Linked DNA regions of Styela clava. The protein of the gene in region 1 interacts with the protein of each later gene in a biochemical or structural test. Links are inferred from orthologs where the notes say so. Each region holds a gene or a part of one and is shown on either strand. Other genes may lie near its edges. The genes, in order: F-box-like/WD repeat-containing protein TBL1XR1 and E3 ubiquitin-protein ligase SIAH1A-like.

Region 1 (8,895 bases):
GATTCAAGAAAACTGACAGTTATGGCACGTTATAACCCCAATTTCTGGTCCAAAGCTAATAATAAGCCGGCCCATCAAAAAATAAGCTGACCACAGAAATTAGGCCAAAAAATCTGCTTATTAGCTGTAAACATGGTAATGCTATATAATGGTATATTGATTGCTCTATTCACTCAAAGCAGGGTACTGAAGCCTTAACAGAGTGTATGAAGAGTATTCGTATAAGATTTCCATGCAAACAGTATCGCCTATCGCTAGATATCAGGGCCTTGTTCAGAGCGGAAGACAAGAGAGGAGCCGTATGAAAAAAAAAAAAAAAAGTACGAAGAGCATACAAAACGCTGTTAATTTATAACACAATCACAGGGCATCAAGTGGCACAAATTTTACCGAAAAACAACAAATCTTGTGGTACCCCGAAGAAATTTGAAAAAATATGAAAGCAATAGCTTTCCTAGGATACACTTTTTCCTTTTTTAATTTTTGCGAGATAGTGGAAAGTTGAAGGGAAGAGTGCTGTCCCAACAACTATATAAATACCATTTTAACAAAACGTTCAAATAACCTCATATCCAAATACATAAAATATAAATTGGGTACATAATATAAGGTGGATACATAAATATCAGTGGGTGCTCTCTGCTTCTGTTCAGAGATGAGTGAATAAGAATTGTACATAATCGATATAGCCTACCAGGAGACAAAATTTTTGTTCCAAAAAAAACAAAAACATTTTTACAGAAATAATCCATAGGTCTATTAATGTCTTGGGAAAGCTAGGCAACATACCACTAAAGATCAGATACAGGACTTTCATGTCTATATAATTGAACATCGTTTTGATTATCCGCCATTTCCACAAGAAATGCATTGGGAAGGATTCGGGGCCCTGTCTGACTTCTGATATGTTGTGAGCAACGAGGAAAAACGTCATGTCGTGCCTATGTTGCGACACTATGAATTTAGTTTTTCTCCAATTGGAAATGCCCTTATTCAGGATATATTCACTATTCCATATTCATAACTCTTATTTCAGAATCTATTTGGAACAGTGAAACATTACTCAAATTTAACCACGGCTGGTTGAAAATAAAATATGTAGTGAATTACCTAGACCATTTGTGCTGTTGGACTCTCCGTTAACTTGAGGCTCTTGTTTAATTGAGGTTGTTGAGGTTGCCGCGGTAACTACTGTTGATGTCATAATGGCATCAGTATTATTAACTGACGACTGTAAAGGAATGTTCGTCGTCGTGGAAACAGACGCATCACCACCGTCTTGTAACGCCATATCAACATTGTTAGTGTTTTTCGTTTCTTCAGCGTTTTTCTGTTGCTGAGCTCGAGCTTTTTCCTGCTCTTGTTGTAGTTTCTGAGCGGCCATTTTTTCTTTCAATTGTTGTTGTCTTGCCAGAACAACATCAGGCATAACTGCGTCAACTAATGATAGGCTTTCACTGAATCTTCCTTCAAATATCATCCCATCCTGAAAAAATAGTAGGGGTTCAAAAATGTATAATAACATTCCATCTCGAAAAAAAATGGGGAAAATAAAAAAAATTTGTATCATTACATCCCGCAAAAATATTGAGAGTTTAAAGTCCTAACATCCCATCCCACAAAAAGCAGGAGTTGAAAAAATTAATTGGAAATATACATCAGCAATACTGGTGGACTATCATATTGTTTTGGTAATATCCTTTTCAAGACATTACTACCTCAAGAAGGTCTAAGAAAAGTTACCATGGAAATACCGAAGTTCGCGTACTCACTCGGAAGTGAAGAAGGCTCATCTCTTAGTTGCAAGCAACTAACTGAAATGCCAAGAGCCCCCAACTATGGATTTACGTGTCAGCAAATGAAGATTGTATGATACATAAAAATGACCTTTTTTACATTTCAAAAGGGAGGGCTCAGAGCCCCCTGAGCAATGTTCCCTCTAATTTTTTGTAGTATGTGTGCGCAGAAATTTTGGTGTGTGCGCACTTTTTTGGAAATGACTAATATTTGTGCAAAAACCAATGAAGAAATTTTGGCTTTCTAACCGGGTAATAAGTGGGCCAACAACAAACTTTCTCAACCTGCCAACCGAGCACATTGTTACATTACATCGAAATACGTCTGTGTGCAGTAAATCTATGCGTGGGCGCAGCACACGCGCACATCTTAGAGGGAACACTGCCCCTGAGTATGTCCCTGCCTTTCAGATTAGTCTTGTCTACAGCCTTTTTCATCACATAAATTTGAAATGTCACACAAAAAAACTATGTACCTCATTAATGCTGATCTCTGCTTCAACATATTGTAGGCCTTTCTGTATGATGGATATGAGAGCAGCTGATGGCACGAGGCCGCCATTGATGTTTGATTGACTGATATGGGACTCCAGACCGAATACAAACGCACTGTGGTGAAAACCTGGAAAAAGTGAAATGGGAATAAATGTTTTGGTCAGCGTTCCAAACCCTTTTTGTTACATTCCTTTTTTGGTACTCCCGTAGTGTGTGTACCGGGTTAGGGCATAATTTCATTCCGATTTTCCTTCTTTTAATTCTAGTATGAGTTCGGGGACTGTCAGTGTTAGCCAAGTGAATATACCCCCTGCCTATAGGTTCCAGTCCCTTTACACAACTTGAAGTAGGCGAACAATATTAGTTACCTCAATATGGCACACACACTTCTACAGCCCTAAATTTTCCCTCTGAAACAAATAATCCTTCCCCACCTCCAGAAACTATAACTTCCCATGAAAGTATGAAAAGCGATTTTGGTAAGCTTCTCCTACCATGGTTTTATAGAAAACAGGACCAATCAAAAGACTATTTATCAAATTTTCCCGTATTTTTATGTGAAACTCATTGTATACACATGGACTCCTATACGCTTCCTGCTGGACATTAATGACCCATTTTAGAATACATTCAAAAATCCAGACACAAAAATATAGGGTGTCCACCTTTAATTTTATAAATATTGAGAAGGGAATTATTCGATACAATATATTGTTTTGGCCCTCGCAGATGTATTAAATGAAGAGAAAATACTGATTAAAAATCAACAAACCTGGTTAAGATATATTGAGAACTGACTTCATAACAAAATTGATATTGTAAAGGGACTTTATGGACACCCTGTATTATTTCAGCAATCAGTGTGCACTGACTTTTGGCAAACTAGGAATCTACCAGTCCTGTAGTTTTGTAAGTGGTTAAAATATTTTTTCTCCGAAACAAGCCCTAAAGCAGCGGTTCCCAACCACCAAGGGCGCCACAGAGCAGGGGGTACACACAAAATTTTTTTTATATTTTTCTTTACAAACCTAGTTTCATTGCTTGATAAAAATATTGTGCACACTTTATTGTGCATGAATTGTTTAACATTTTAACAAATAACACTATAAATACCAATGGAATGATAAAACAAGGGAGCCACGAGCCATAAAAGGTCGAGAACCACTGCTCTACTACCAACATTGTTGCTAGATTGACAGCAGTATAAAAACCTTGGCTGCACGACAGAAATGTTTAAAACTAACTGAATATTCAAATTGATTCAAAATTGAATAATTTCATTTGAAAAATTATCATGTCAAGAGTATGAATAAAGACTCCTCCATATCTCTTCCTGAAAATTATAAAAAGTACAAGATCTACTGTGAAAATTTTCATATGTGTTAGGTTAGCTTAGATTTACCAATTACCATGATCTATGAAGCTTACTATTGAGACAACCCGGGCGATATCAAACTCTAATTATCTATGCGAATGTAGTCGTCTTTTGGCATGTATCTACTGATATTGGAACCCGGCCCAATTCCACAGATCAGAAATGTATACGGAAGTGGAAATTTCTCAGGAGTCAGCATTTCTGATTTTTAATAGTGATAATTGGAAATCTTCGACTGTAAATCTAAGCCTATTAGCCTATTTATTTTCCTTTTTAAAAAATTATATAATGCTTGCAAATGCTCAAAAGGTTCATGCTATCAAAAGTTGGTATTCTCATCAGACAATAAAAAACGCCTCGAATAATTTTTGTGATCAAAATATTTTGTTTTTACAGGCTCTTTTTGTGCCAAATAAATTCCACTGCCAAACATAATTGTCGTATTTGGATTTTTGAATCAAATCATTATATTTTAAGTAAATTTCTAAGTTTTTAGTTTCAATGTTTTTTTGTTTTTAATTAAATCCTATTATCTCAATTTTCTCTGACTTCACAACTAGAGCCAGAACTTCCTTCAACTTTGTTTCCGAGAACAGAATAAATATTTTCACTAAATCAATACCAGAGTGCATTTTAAATGGCTCAAGAGTCTTGTTTAGAATGCAAATTCGTCCAGACCAGTGGTGTGCTTCCCATAAGAGGGGCGTAGAAAATTATTTCTTGAGGGGAACATGAAGCTGATTATAAAAAAAGGTATATTTGTCAGATTTGATCTTGCTCGCCATATTTTGGATATTTACATTTCTTAATTGTTTTGAGATTGCAGAGAGCTGTTGTATCTTTATTTTAAAAACAGTGAAAAACCGTCTAAAAACACAAATAAACCTGCTAAAACGCCTAAAAACAGTGAGAAACAGTCTAAAAACACCAATAACCCTGCTAAAACGCTTAAAAACAGTGGAAAACCGTCTAAAAACACCAATAACCCTGCTAAAACGCTTAACATCATTGAAAAACCGTCTAAAAACACCAATAACCCTGCTACAACGCTTAAAAACAGTAAAAAACCGTCTAAAAACACCAATAACCCTGCTAAAACGTATGTAAAATGTATCCTTTTCATCCAGGTATTTTCAACAAGTTTTTTGAATTAGTTTCACCTTATTATCTATTATTTGTAGCTTATTGTTAGCTAGTTATTTCTGAGGTGTGGCTCGAGACTTGACAAATTCTGAAAGGGGGCGCAAATATTTAAGAACCACTGGTCGAGACCAAACAGCCCTTCTGAGAAAATGAGCATTGCTAAAAGTATTTTCGCTTTTACAATGTAGAAAAAAAGAATCAAAAAGAATCGTCACCTGACTCCTCCAGGTACCTATAGACCAGGAAGTTTACTTCATCCGACGTGATGCTCATATTTAACATGGAAGAAATTGCGATTTTCCAACGTCTATATGAAAAAAATTAGGATTTTTCAATCATTTGTGACGTTGTATAGTATATATCCAAAAGTTAGTTAGTAATCCATGCTTTTTCCTTCTGAATCAAAATATATCCAATTTTCTTTTTGATAAAACTGAAGAATATTTCCAATGATTTGACACTGTATATCCTAGTAGTGATTCTTTGAGTTGAAATTTCTGTTCCAGGCTAGTTTAGTAATATAAAAATCTGTTTGAAGAGAATGTTGGTTAGAATTATATAGAATCCGACAAAATTTTATAATTATTTTAATTTATATAAATTTTTTTGAAAGAATTCAAAGTTCTCATCCTACCTCTATAAAGAAATGGGAAGAGGTGAGTGGAGGTGGTTAATATAAGTAAATTTGGTATGACAAGGACATCGTGAGCAACATACATCACAGTTTTGGGTGGCCCTCAACCTACCTGTATAATGAAAACTTCCATAATCTGGTAAGTAATTACAAAATTTTCAACATGCAGGTAAAGTCGGTTAGAATTTGGGACGGTATGTGCCAGGCGATGTTTTTTCGGTTTATTGGACACAAAGTGGACCTATAGGTCATTTGGGTATTATGTTGTTGTTCTTGTTGGTATTTGTCATTTTGAAAAAAAATCGCTTCTTTCATTTACCGGAACAATTGCTTTGAAATTTTCAGTGGTTGAAGTTAGTATTTTCTGCTAGAAAGATATTACTTTTATTTGTTCCTAAATTTAATACAATTACAATTGAGCTGTGTTTTCCCCAGCCAAGATTTATGGTCATATTTTACTTCAAATTAGCATGGAACAAACATGGTACAATACTCTTTGACAAGCAGGAAACAATATTGAACTACTTTGCTAAGGAATGTTCAAATATTTGTTCCCGGATCAGGCAACGCCCTACAGACCAAATTTGAAATTCTATAGTGTGACTAAGGACGTACTACAATACTAGCAAGGGTGTAGTAAACTACCTGGTAGGTGGGCAAAGCCAAATAGGAAAAAAATTCCGGTAATTCCAAACTTGATTATATATTAGTAATAAATTACCGTATCTAAAGCCTTTAAAGTGAAAATGTGCAAAAAAACATGAAAATCATTCCAAGCATACCCAATTATTTCATTCATATTTGCAACTTCGTAATGTTCAAATTTGAAATCTTACTGTGTGTGACGTATATGAGGCACACATAACAAGGACATAATAAACTGAGTTGGCAATGATAATCTCCCGAAGATTTTAGTTCTTTCAAAATTAGTGACTCCTTTCAAAAAAATTATTCCAAATAATGGTCAATTTATTTCAAAATAATAGTAAAATTTCCTCAACATGAAATTTAATTGATTGAAGGGCATAGTAAAGTGGGTAGGCTATTCAAAACCTTGAAGATTCTGATTCTTTGCATTTCACAGAATATTTATCTGAAAACCTGTTTGAAGTAAAGATAGAAAAATTGCTAACAAAAAATTTAGTATAAATATTTCATTCATTGTCATAATATCAAAATAAATAACATTTGAGAATTATCATCTTTAATTAAAAATATATGTTTAAATTTTCTGTCAGCTGATCATTATAAAATATTGTTAATTTCCACTTACTAATTATTAAAATGTAAGGTACTACCAACAAAATATGGTAACGAAAATGGTTGATTTATAGCAAACAATTGGAAAGAATATCAGATCTGAACCGGTATCCATCAAAATGATAATAGAACTACTTTCAAAAAATTCTTGACAGTGTTTTCATATGTATATTATTTTTGAACTACAAACGAGAATATTGTTCAGAGACCAAAGACTTATCGATCGAAAGTTAGGGGATCCCCAAAACAGCACTCTTACGGTACCCCATAGTGACACTAATATATTAATAACACGCTAATTAAACCACATGATACATCCAAAATCACTGACTTCTGGTCCAACATATGATGAATGCACATGCAAAATCTGGAGCAGATTCAACCTCGCTTTCGTGAGATATCGCGTGCATCTAACAGACAGACAGACAAACACAGACAAATACCTATCAACATACTTACCGATTAAAATCGATAAGTAATAATTGATCACTGTGTCCAATTTTCAAAATTGTTAAATTCAAAATAAATTAAAATTCAGATATTAAAATGGCCGATAACACTATAGTAAAAATTGCCAATAACCTAATACAAATTCATCAAATGGTAAAAAAATTATGCTCCAATAAATTCTTGGCAGTGTTCCCATATGTGTATTATTTTTGAACTACAAATAAATGATCACTGTCTCACCATTTTCAAAATTATGTGAACTCGAATTTAATTAAAATTCAGATATTAAAATGGCCGATAACACTGTAGTAAAAATGGCCAATAATCTAATACAAATCCATCAAAATGGAAAGAACTACGTCAGAAATGACTTGGCAATGGTTTCATGTGTATTTTGTTTATGAACTGCAAATAGTAGGTCACTCTGTCCCCGTTTTTGAAAATTGTGTGACCTCAAATTTAATTAGACCTAGAAAAATAAAATTGCTGATAACACTGAAGTAAAAATTGCCAATAATCTAATACAAATCCATCAAATTGGAGAAAGATTTACATCCAAATATTCTTGGCAGTGTTTGCATATGTATTTTGATTATGAACCGCAAATAAAAGACCAATGCATCTCACATTTTTTAAAATTGTGTGTATTAAACCCAACATATTAAAATGGCCGATAACCCTATAGTAAAAATGACCAATCATATGACACAAATCCATCAAAATGGTGAACGAATTACATTCATAAAGTCTTTGGCAGTAATTCATAATATGTATCTGTATTTTAACTGCGATTGGGAGACCAGACCATTGTGCTGCTATTTCTCAATATGGACTGAAATTTAATTAAAATATTACAGTAAAATTGGCAAAATTATTTAATTATTTATTCGGGTATAAATTCATTGAATATGGCAGCAGAAATGCTTTAATAGTATTGTCTATGTCTTTAGATTAATTAGTTTATTAACTGCACTTAGAATAGATCGCTGTGTCTCCAATGTATGAACTCAAATTTATTTGAATCTAAGATATCAAAATGATTGATGACACGATGGTTAAATGATACAATGCTTTCAAAATGGTGACAAAATTATAAAAATTCTTGGCAAGTGTCTACATATGTATTTTGTTTTCGACAGCAAATTTCGCAAACTCAAGTTTAATTAAATTTATCATGTTAATATTGTAGGCAAGATTATTACATCAAAATGCATAAAAATTTCATCGATCATGGTGGCAGAGAGGATTCAACAACATTGGCAATGTCCTCAGTTTTTGGCAAGTCAGCGAATAATGATTTCATAATGAAACTAGAAGCCATTATGACTTCACAGAGCTCTTGTGACCTTTACCGCCAAAAAAACTGAGCCACGTACCGGGTGAAACCATTATTCTGACAAGAGGGGATGTTTTTGAAACCGCATTGATAAACAAACCAAGAATGAAAATAGATTTCTTTTACAATTTGGACTGAACCATTATGAACTCCCCCTTTTTTGCGGATGACAAATAACGCGTTCTCCTATCGTGTTGTTGTTTCCTCTATCGCTCATTTTATCTCTCTCTCTTTTACTACTCGTCCACCTCTTTCTATCTTCATTTTCCCTTACTGCGTCACTCCTCCCTTTTCCGATACGAGACCTCATTATGTCGTAACCAACGACTTATTTCTATCTTCCTCTCTCTTTATTATAAAACAATGAGCGATGTTTTCAATATCGAATATTTTTTCTCGGTCGTCG
Region 2 (8,895 bases), on another chromosome or scaffold:
CGAGTGCCATAGGATAGCTGAAGTTACCGGCATAAATCTAATCCTAATCGACAAGCGTGATTGGGTGATCTTTGGCAGTGGTTCCCAACCTTTCTACCCTGGCGGACCGGTAAAATTAAATATATTCGCGGACGGCAATAAAATGAAATGAGCGGAACAGAAAGTAATAACATATATTTTCGTAATATAATGCAATAAAAATGCTTCTAGACAAAAAAAGGCACACTTAAAAACATTTCACACGAAGAAAAACTATCAAATAATGTGCCGGCCAACAATTGAAATGGGTGAAACATAAAATAATACCATATATTTGCGTGATGAAATGCAGTGCTGTGCACCCATTATGCGTAAGAAGGCACACAAAAACATTTGACATGAAAAAAAAACATACCAAATCACGTACAAACACAATTAACTATAGTCAGAATTTTGCTGCTGTTTCGTTTCAAATATAGGATTGCAGACGAGGCCTCAAATCAGTTTCTGAAACACGTTGCTCTGCAGCTGCGTGCAGCCAATTTCCTTGCTTCAAGCTAGTGATGAGAATGTTTTTTATTTTCGCGTAAAGCATAAGTAACTGGTTGAAAATACTGACAACAGTTTGATTGCTCGATTACTTAGCGATGGGTATTCGGTATTATTAAGAGATACCCAAAATTTAGACAGTGATTTTTTTTATAATCTGGACTGTAAAGTAGGATCACAATTTTAATCAGCTTTTCTTTTTCACTAAAATTTACATTACAATGACAAAGTCGTCGGTAACTTGGCACCAGTTTCAATCCTACTGTGCCTGCTTAATACTTGAAAAGATCTCAGCGGATCTCTTTTTTGGTTTAAACAAAGAAATATGCATACCGTTTTATATGGATTGTCATATTAATCAAGAAAAGTTAATCAAGAGTTCCGACTTTTAGGTTTCTGAATCTTGCGAGATTTGATGGAGCGCATTCGAGATGAATCGGAGCCGAAAGAGCGAAAAGTGTGATCGGCGCCAAGATGTCGCGAAAGACGTCGCAATAAACCGGCGGAAGAGAAATTGGGCAATAAACAAACGCAACCCTGTCTTCGGTAAAGCGATTGATATGGCATAAAAACAACGAAATTTTTAGCGGACCGGCAAAAAAGTTTCGCGGACCGGCGGTTGGGAACCACCAATCTACGGGAATCGCGAGTCATTTACGTCTTCCTCCGCCATCAAATCCATGTATCTGAAACAAACAACTGGCTAACCCGACATAAACTGGTAAGTGATACGCTATATGACTGAGCCGTCTTATCGACTTTCCTCTCCCCAGAATAAATAAGAAAATCCACTTTGGAGCAAAAGCATATGTGTGACGTCAAACAGTAGCATTATCGCACGCTTCACCGCCCACAGTGCGAACAACTGTTTTCTTTCATTTTTTATTATAAGTCACTAACCGTTGGGATATTCGGATTTCTTGACGACAAAGGTTTTTATATTACTGTATTAACCTTTTGTGTTTTGTTCTGAGGTCGTGTAAATGTTTTGTTCTTATTGATATGGGTTTGCTGTTTTTAGTGGAAATTTGGTACCGGTACTGGCTGCCGGTAGGCTATATTTGATAGTTTTATCAGAAGACTTTAATCACGCTGCCTCATCGAATTATCGCGATGTACTGTGAATGTGAACATAATTTTATTCAAATTAACATCAGAACAGTTTGTGACTATACTACGGTATCTGTTTATGTGATGTTTCTGTTAGGGGGCACTGGCTGACTGGGCATATATAAATTCGGGTCTGGTATAGTCAGGGATTCCATATCGTCCTTATTTCTAAGGTTTGTCCTTATTTTTAGCTTGCGTCCTTATTTTTGGCTTGCATGTCCTCATTTTGTCTTATTTGGACTTCATAAAGGAAGCTTTGTGTTGTTTGCTTTATCGCCAAAGTTTTATTATGGCATCATAAAAGCAGTTGTCTAGTTGCAGAGTTGGCCTGGCTCAACAATTTTTGCATATGCAGATAGGGTGGTGTAGCCAGTCTGCGGACGATTTCATTCAAACCGCTATAAAACAAAAACCAATATTTCTAACCCGTTAAATTTTTCACCGTAGGTGGACGAGGGATAAGTGGACGATAACGTGTGAGAAATATCGTCGCGGTTCGGTAATTTTTTCGGCTTTAATTTAATTGATGATGTTGATGGTCGCAGATAGGTCATGGCCGCAAAGTGGGTAAGCCACCCTATGTCATTCCTAACCCCCACCTGACTATGTCACCAAAAAAATATGTCACTAAGACACCACAGTGGCGTAAAAATGCCTACAAAGCGTACGGATGGTCGTTCAAAACGCGCAGACAATCACCCAAAATCGAGCAAGCTATTTTCCTCGTCGCAACGATCCCGATATGAGTGAGACCGCTGGCCTTGGTGAGTTTGGTATCCAGGTATTGCCGGTACAGATGCCAACCGACCATTCATGTCGGTTATATTATTAGTTAGCCAGTTGTTTGATTCAGATGTATGGACTCGGTGGTGGATGAAGCTGTAACTGACCCCGATTATATGAATCACTCCACGGCGGCAAAAACTGAAGAGCCCAGCAATCTTCTTGTACTGTTGTATATAGTCTAAATATCTCTCACATGATTCCAACCTGCGAACATACGCGGGGTAATCAGAGTTGCGGCAGTGAGTGTATTCCTAATGCTTGCCGCTGAGCATTGTTCAGTTGTTACATTGTTTTGTACATACGATACCATTCTGCCATTGCCGAACAACTCAGACTTATGACAAGCTGTGTGGTTCCTTAGTAGCAGTGTTGTTATCAAGTATTTATGAATTTAATTAAAGTACAATGGGTACCTACTGATTGAATTTACAGCTACCTGGTTTTGTCATCCAAAGATTATGTCACTACGACCTCACAATCACCTCAAACAGCTTGCCAAAGTATAGCTGTGATAGACGGAAATGACATATTTGCCAACGTTAATGAACTCACTAACGCTAGCTCATATTGGGAATCTCATATTGGGATCATTACGACAAGAAAATGAGAGAAATCATCTGCGCGTCTCGGATGACCATTAGTATAGTTTGAAGGGCCTCATTATGTTACTGTGACATGGTAGTGAGGTAATTTTTGAATGACGTAGTCAGGTGGGGTTAGGAATAACGTATGCAAAAATAGTTTTGCCACGCCTACTAAAAGTACTTATGTCGTGTTGTGAACATGGCCCGAATATTTCAACTTCAAGAAAATGATCAAGTTTTGGAGAATATCCCTCCCCTATTCATTCTACGTATATAATGTGAGAATATTATCAAACATTCATCTTTTCTTATAAATAATTTACAGATATTTTAAATTTGTATAGAGATATAAAAAAACATTTGGATAGTTGCAGAAAAAAGCCTGCTGCCATTTGTGCAGCATGGTTCTATGATGTGACATCACTTTGGATTATTCTTAGTAATGCCAAACCCAAAAAATATGAGTCGGCAGACTTGTTCCTCTAACACAACCAAAGCTAATAGTGGGGATATGCCTGTCAGTGGACGAAAACCTGATGGTACTATAGCTTCAAATAATGACTTAGCGAGTTTATTTGAATGTCCTGTATGTTTTGACTATGTCCTACCTCCAATTTTGCAATGCCAAAGCGGACATTTAGTTTGTGGGGCCTGCAGGCCTAAATTAACATGCTGCCCAACATGTCGCGGACCTTTGGGCAATATAAGAAATCTAGGAATGGAAAAAGTTGCAAGTTCTGTACTATTTCCGTGTAGATATGTATCATCTGGCTGTGAATCGACTTTAATATACACAGAGAAGTCTGAACATGAAGAAACATGCGAATACAGGCCTTATTCTTGCCCGTGTCCCGGAGCCTCATGTAAATGGCAAGGATCATTGGATCAAGTAATGCCACATCTGATGACAACTCACAAATCTATCACTAATTTACAGGTAAATTGTTCATTTGCAACTTATAGACAGTTTGTTTGTAGTGCAACTTCTAGACCAGGGATGTCCAACCCGCGGGCCGCGTGTGGCCCACTTGAAGTTTTTATAAATAATGCGACGAAGTCGCAAAGTTGTTGAACTCATTTGAAGAAAGATTCGCTTACTTACAAAAATTCGACAGTCTCTTTAAAATTTTTATGTGTTCATTTTAAATTCGAGTAGAAGATGGCCCAGAATACATGCAACTTGAATTGATCCAATCAAAAACCGAACTGAAATGCTTGTTTCAAAGAAATAGAAAACTTCAATTCCACAGTCAACGATAGAGATATCGATGGAGATGAGTTTCCCATTCTGAGACAAATGGCAATGCGTATTGCGGCGGCGATAGGAACAACATATTTGTGCAAATCCTTCTTTTCTAAACTGAAAATTATAAAGTCTGAGCCAGGGGTCGGCAACCCCTGGCACGCGTGCCAATTGTGACACGCGAGAGGATTTCTCATGGCACGCCAAGTGATTTGAGGCAGATTCAGATATTTCTTTTAGTAGTTCGATAAACATTCTACATTTGAACAAAAATTAACAATTCGACAAATTCATTGAAAAACATGCAATATTTAACTGCAATCGACAAAAGCCGAAATCTGTACGGCAGGGGTCTCAAACTCAATTTACCTGGAAGCCGCCGAAACGGAGTCTGAGTGAGTCCGGGCCGCATCAGATTTTCCACAATAAAAGCATCGCATAAAACATTTTTTTCTCTATTTTTCTATACGCAAAACATGTCAAAAACATAAATGTAAGTAATTCCGCGATAGACCTTCCGTCGAGCACCTACTTCCTTGTTTATTCCGTAACATTGGCTAATCAGCAAGACGCAAAACGTAACGTAACAATAGACGTTTTCGCAAACGCTCAGAGACTTGTCACTCAGAAAGATTTTCAGGCATGTTTGTAAACATTACCTCGTTTTTGCATGCTATTTGTTAGTTTTTGGTTGTGTTTCAGAAATTCAAGTATGAATCAAAGAACCAAATGATCATTCTTTGATCATTCATTGCTTGGGCGTCGTAGCTTAATTGCAGTAATCAAAAATTAGTGTAAAAATAACTGTGATAGAATAGGCTAAACTTCTCTACCGGTACTGTTGAAAAACAGGTTGTTGAATGTTTTGAATCAAAAAGAAGCAAGTGGTTACAACATATACCCCAGTTTATACGCTTCAACTCGTGAAGCCACCCCTAAAATAAGCAACAAGAAATTTGCAATGGTGAAGTATAAAAACGAAAATGTTGAGGTCACAGGTCGGGGAAGGTCCATCGATAATCATGCCTACAGCTACAGGTACGGTACTAGTAGGTTACCGTACCGCATATGCCTTTCGGAGGATAGATTTTGAAATATTTTGTTTTGCTCTACTTGTCCTGATCATATATTAAATGCATCAATCATTCTAACTGAGCTGAGTAACTTACGGACCGCACTAACATTGAACTTTCATACCAAGGCGGGGGCCACAAACTATCGTCCTGCGGGCCACGAGTTTGAGACCCCTGCTGTACGGGAAACCAGTGTAATTAAGTATGTGCGGTGCAATGTTGCCACATTTCGCTTTTTTCGGAAAAACTATTGATCATAGGTCGGAATCTGTATGGAAAATCAGTGTAGATGAGCATGTTTGGTGCAGCGGTGCCAGATTTGGCTACTGTCGGAAACAACGCTTCGCTACTTAAAACTACTCGTTTAACTACTTGCGATTTTTCATATTACTGTTGGGTTACTTTTTGCCCGTTAAATCGGGAAATATTGAATATTCATTTATCAATTCACACTTTTGGGCAACTATTCATACAGCTTTTTGCTAAAATCGCGATTGTTTTTGTCAGCGTGGCGTGTTAGGCTGTGAACACTTTAAGTTGGTGTTTATTCTCCCTGATTCCAAAAAATTATTTAACGACAACGATTTTAATTACTTTCTTTTTTCACTCGCCCAGAATTGTGAATTTGTTGAGAGGTATTATACAATAATCATTGGCGCGTTGCTTAGGTCAAACAAAGGAGTGAAACGGCGACACAAATTTTTTCATTGAACAGCGACAACTAAAAATATCAAAAATAAAACCGTAAACAATTTGTTCTAGTTGGCCCGCGACAGCTCTTTAGGCATTGTAAATTGCAAAATCTTGAATGCCTATGTGTTAATTGTGCGCGGATTTTTCTATTTTACTTGCGGTCGGAAATGTTCGTGTTAATATTATATATTATAGGTTAGAAACGCGACTTTTTCCCGAGTCGTGGTGATATATAAGATAAGTATATTCAATCAATTTTTATTGTACTAAAATAAATTTTATTTTATTGCAGACTTGGAATTTTTTTAACGGTAGTTTTTATCAGGTAGTTGACTATGCAAACCAAGTTTGGCACGCGAAGATGCTCAATATTCATAAAATGGCAGGCTGAGTTCAAAAGGTTGCCGACCCCTGGTCTAAGCATAGGAGTAATCTGACGAATGACAATTTAAGGAGCCTGTTACGTTGTGCGGTATCAAAACTACCTGTTGATATTAAACAGTTGCGCAATGACATACAAAAGCAAGTTTCGCACTAGTTGAAAAAATATTGCTGACATTTTTTATTTTTTATGCCAATTTGCATTATTGCAAAAATTTTGCGCCAAAGTTGAGTTGAACTTTATGGTTCATGATCCTTGTGTGCATGTTGTGTTCAAAAATTCGCAAAAGTGTTGTGCAATCCAGGCGTTCGATTTAGCGACGCTCAAATTCTAACGTAAATCAGAACTGGGATGGTATTTTGAGTTTGGTGAAAACGTTTGCGGCCCGCAATGAATTGCCTCACATGAAAGCGGCCTGCGACACTGAAAAGGTTGGACATGCTTGTTCTAGACTGTTATTCTCATTTGAAGTTGCAGGGCGACCCAAAAAACAACCCAGGTCCTTTGGAACCTTTTCTAAGAAGGATACCATATACCTTTTGTGCAAAGATCCTAGATTACTCACATTACTGAAACTTTTTGGTACAATCTTACACAAACAGGAGTTCGAATGTTAAAAAAATTTTCGAAGAAGTAATCAATGAATAAATGGGTTCAATTTTTTTGGCATCCTATACGTGTGAAGTTAGGTGTACTTTCATTCTACAAGTAGAGAAATTTGATTTTGGATAACTTGATAAATTAACTTCAATAAATGAAACTCAAGATTAATTCTTTTTATAATACTGTTCTATGTCAGACGTATGGTTCAACTTTATAATAAATTTTATAGTAGAGAATTCTCATCTGCGGTGCTACGCATAAGATGAGATAGTTTGCATTTATGAATATTTGGAAATTTTAGGCACATTTTATTGGTGTGTTGTGTTCGTGTACTATAAAAAATATAGGATTATTCGAAGCATGGAATTTATCACGATTTTGCATTCCAGAATTTAAAACTCATTGAATATATAAGGACTAAATGTGATCTTTGTTTAATTCGGAATTTAAGAATATATTCAAATTTAAAATATATTCGAAAATATTATTTTGGAATTGTAGATTATTTGGATTTGACTGTTCCATAACAATCTATTCCAATGCGGGAATTGTTTGTGGAAACATTAGCCACAAAATATCATTTAAAAGCTATTTAACTTTATCAAATTGGGTTAAAACTGAAAAAAGTGAAGATACATAATTTGTATATACTGAATTTCTCATAGAAAAATGTGGTTTAAATAAGAGTATTTTAACTTTTATTTACTGAGACGCTATAAAAGTTTGTGGGCATGGCTTTCTGAACAAATTTAGTAAAATCCTTCGCTACCCAAGAATATGCTCAATTTCTAACTGTAAATTTATATTGGTTGCAAAGTTAAATTATTGCTATAAAACAATCATTGCATATACCGTAAGCAAACTAGATGTTATCAAGTTTGCACTGTAATACTATTGAGCAACACTTCAATACCAAACAATAAAATAAAACAAAAGCGACCTAATAAAATTTTCAGGCGACCTGTGGATTGTGAAACACTGTGATAGAGCATGGTGCCCAGTTGCATGGGTTTCACAGGTTAATAAATATCTAGAAAAACTAGAAATATTTTGATCTTCCCAAAATAATAGCCTATGTGTAACAGTGAATGCTTGTCTAGAGACTTGTTTGGAGCAAAGTAGGGAAAAGAAATTGGTACTCCCGTAGTATGTGAACCAGGTTAGGGTTAAGCCATACATACCATTCTGTTACAAATACTACGGGAGTCACTTGTCCCAGAACTCGTAATAGAACTGAAATAAGGAAAATTGGAATGAAATTATGGCCTAACCCTAACCTGGTAAACATACTGCGTTCAGGTGTCCACCATCTTGGTTCACATACTATGGGACTGAGAGTACCAAGAATATTACTTCAACCAGACCTGAAAATTTTCTCACTTAAGTTTTGATGTATTTATGATTATCAAATTTAATGTAGTAAAATTGGTTTGGGGCACCAACATAATGAATGGTAGCTAGTTAACAAATCGTAAAGTTGTTGAAGTTGAAACCATAAATCACAAACAATTTGTATATAAAAATAGGTTTTGGAATGTTGAAATACCAGTTATGAACAGCCCTATTACGGCATTAAAAACTTTTAATCCTCAGTAAGATAATCAATATGCAACTGATGTGTGTAGTGATTAAGTGCTTTGAGTATTAGGTCAGTAGTTGGTTCATGTTATTGCCAGAGTCAATTGGGAATTGGAGAACTAATATTATGGATAACTGGTCCATTTATCTTAGTATTGATTTTTGTTTGTCTTTGAAAGTCTCTCTTTCTGACCTTGCCAAAGTGATTGATGATAGTAAGCCACTTTACAGTATGATATGTTGATAAAGCTGAGAGTTTAAAATTAAAACCCATGAGATTATCACTATACATGGAACAAACAATAGTTTTTTCCA

What was found.
Region 2: the proteins of F-box-like/WD repeat-containing protein TBL1XR1 (region 1) and E3 ubiquitin-protein ligase SIAH1A-like form a complex in vitro, tested with the Drosophila melanogaster proteins (2 studies listed by BioGRID). The link is inferred for Styela clava from reciprocal best matches to the Drosophila melanogaster genes ebi and sina.

Annotation. Positions count from the first base shown.
Region 1 is NC_135258.1:3,382,604-3,391,498, forward strand, and holds the start of F-box-like/WD repeat-containing protein TBL1XR1, read right to left. Parts: upstream 5,350-8,895; 5' UTR 5,092-5,349; coding exon 5,025-5,091; intron 2,419-5,024; coding exon 2,273-2,418; intron 1,487-2,272; coding exon 1,111-1,486; intron 1-1,110.
Region 2 is NC_135263.1:4,120,462-4,129,356, reverse strand, and holds the start of E3 ubiquitin-protein ligase SIAH1A-like, read left to right. Parts: upstream 1-3,320; 5' UTR 3,321-3,450; coding exon 3,451-3,945; intron 3,946-8,895. UniProt on the Drosophila melanogaster protein: E3 ubiquitin-protein ligase that is required for specification of R7 photoreceptor cell fate in the eye by mediating the ubiquitination and subsequent proteasomal degradation of Tramtrack (ttk).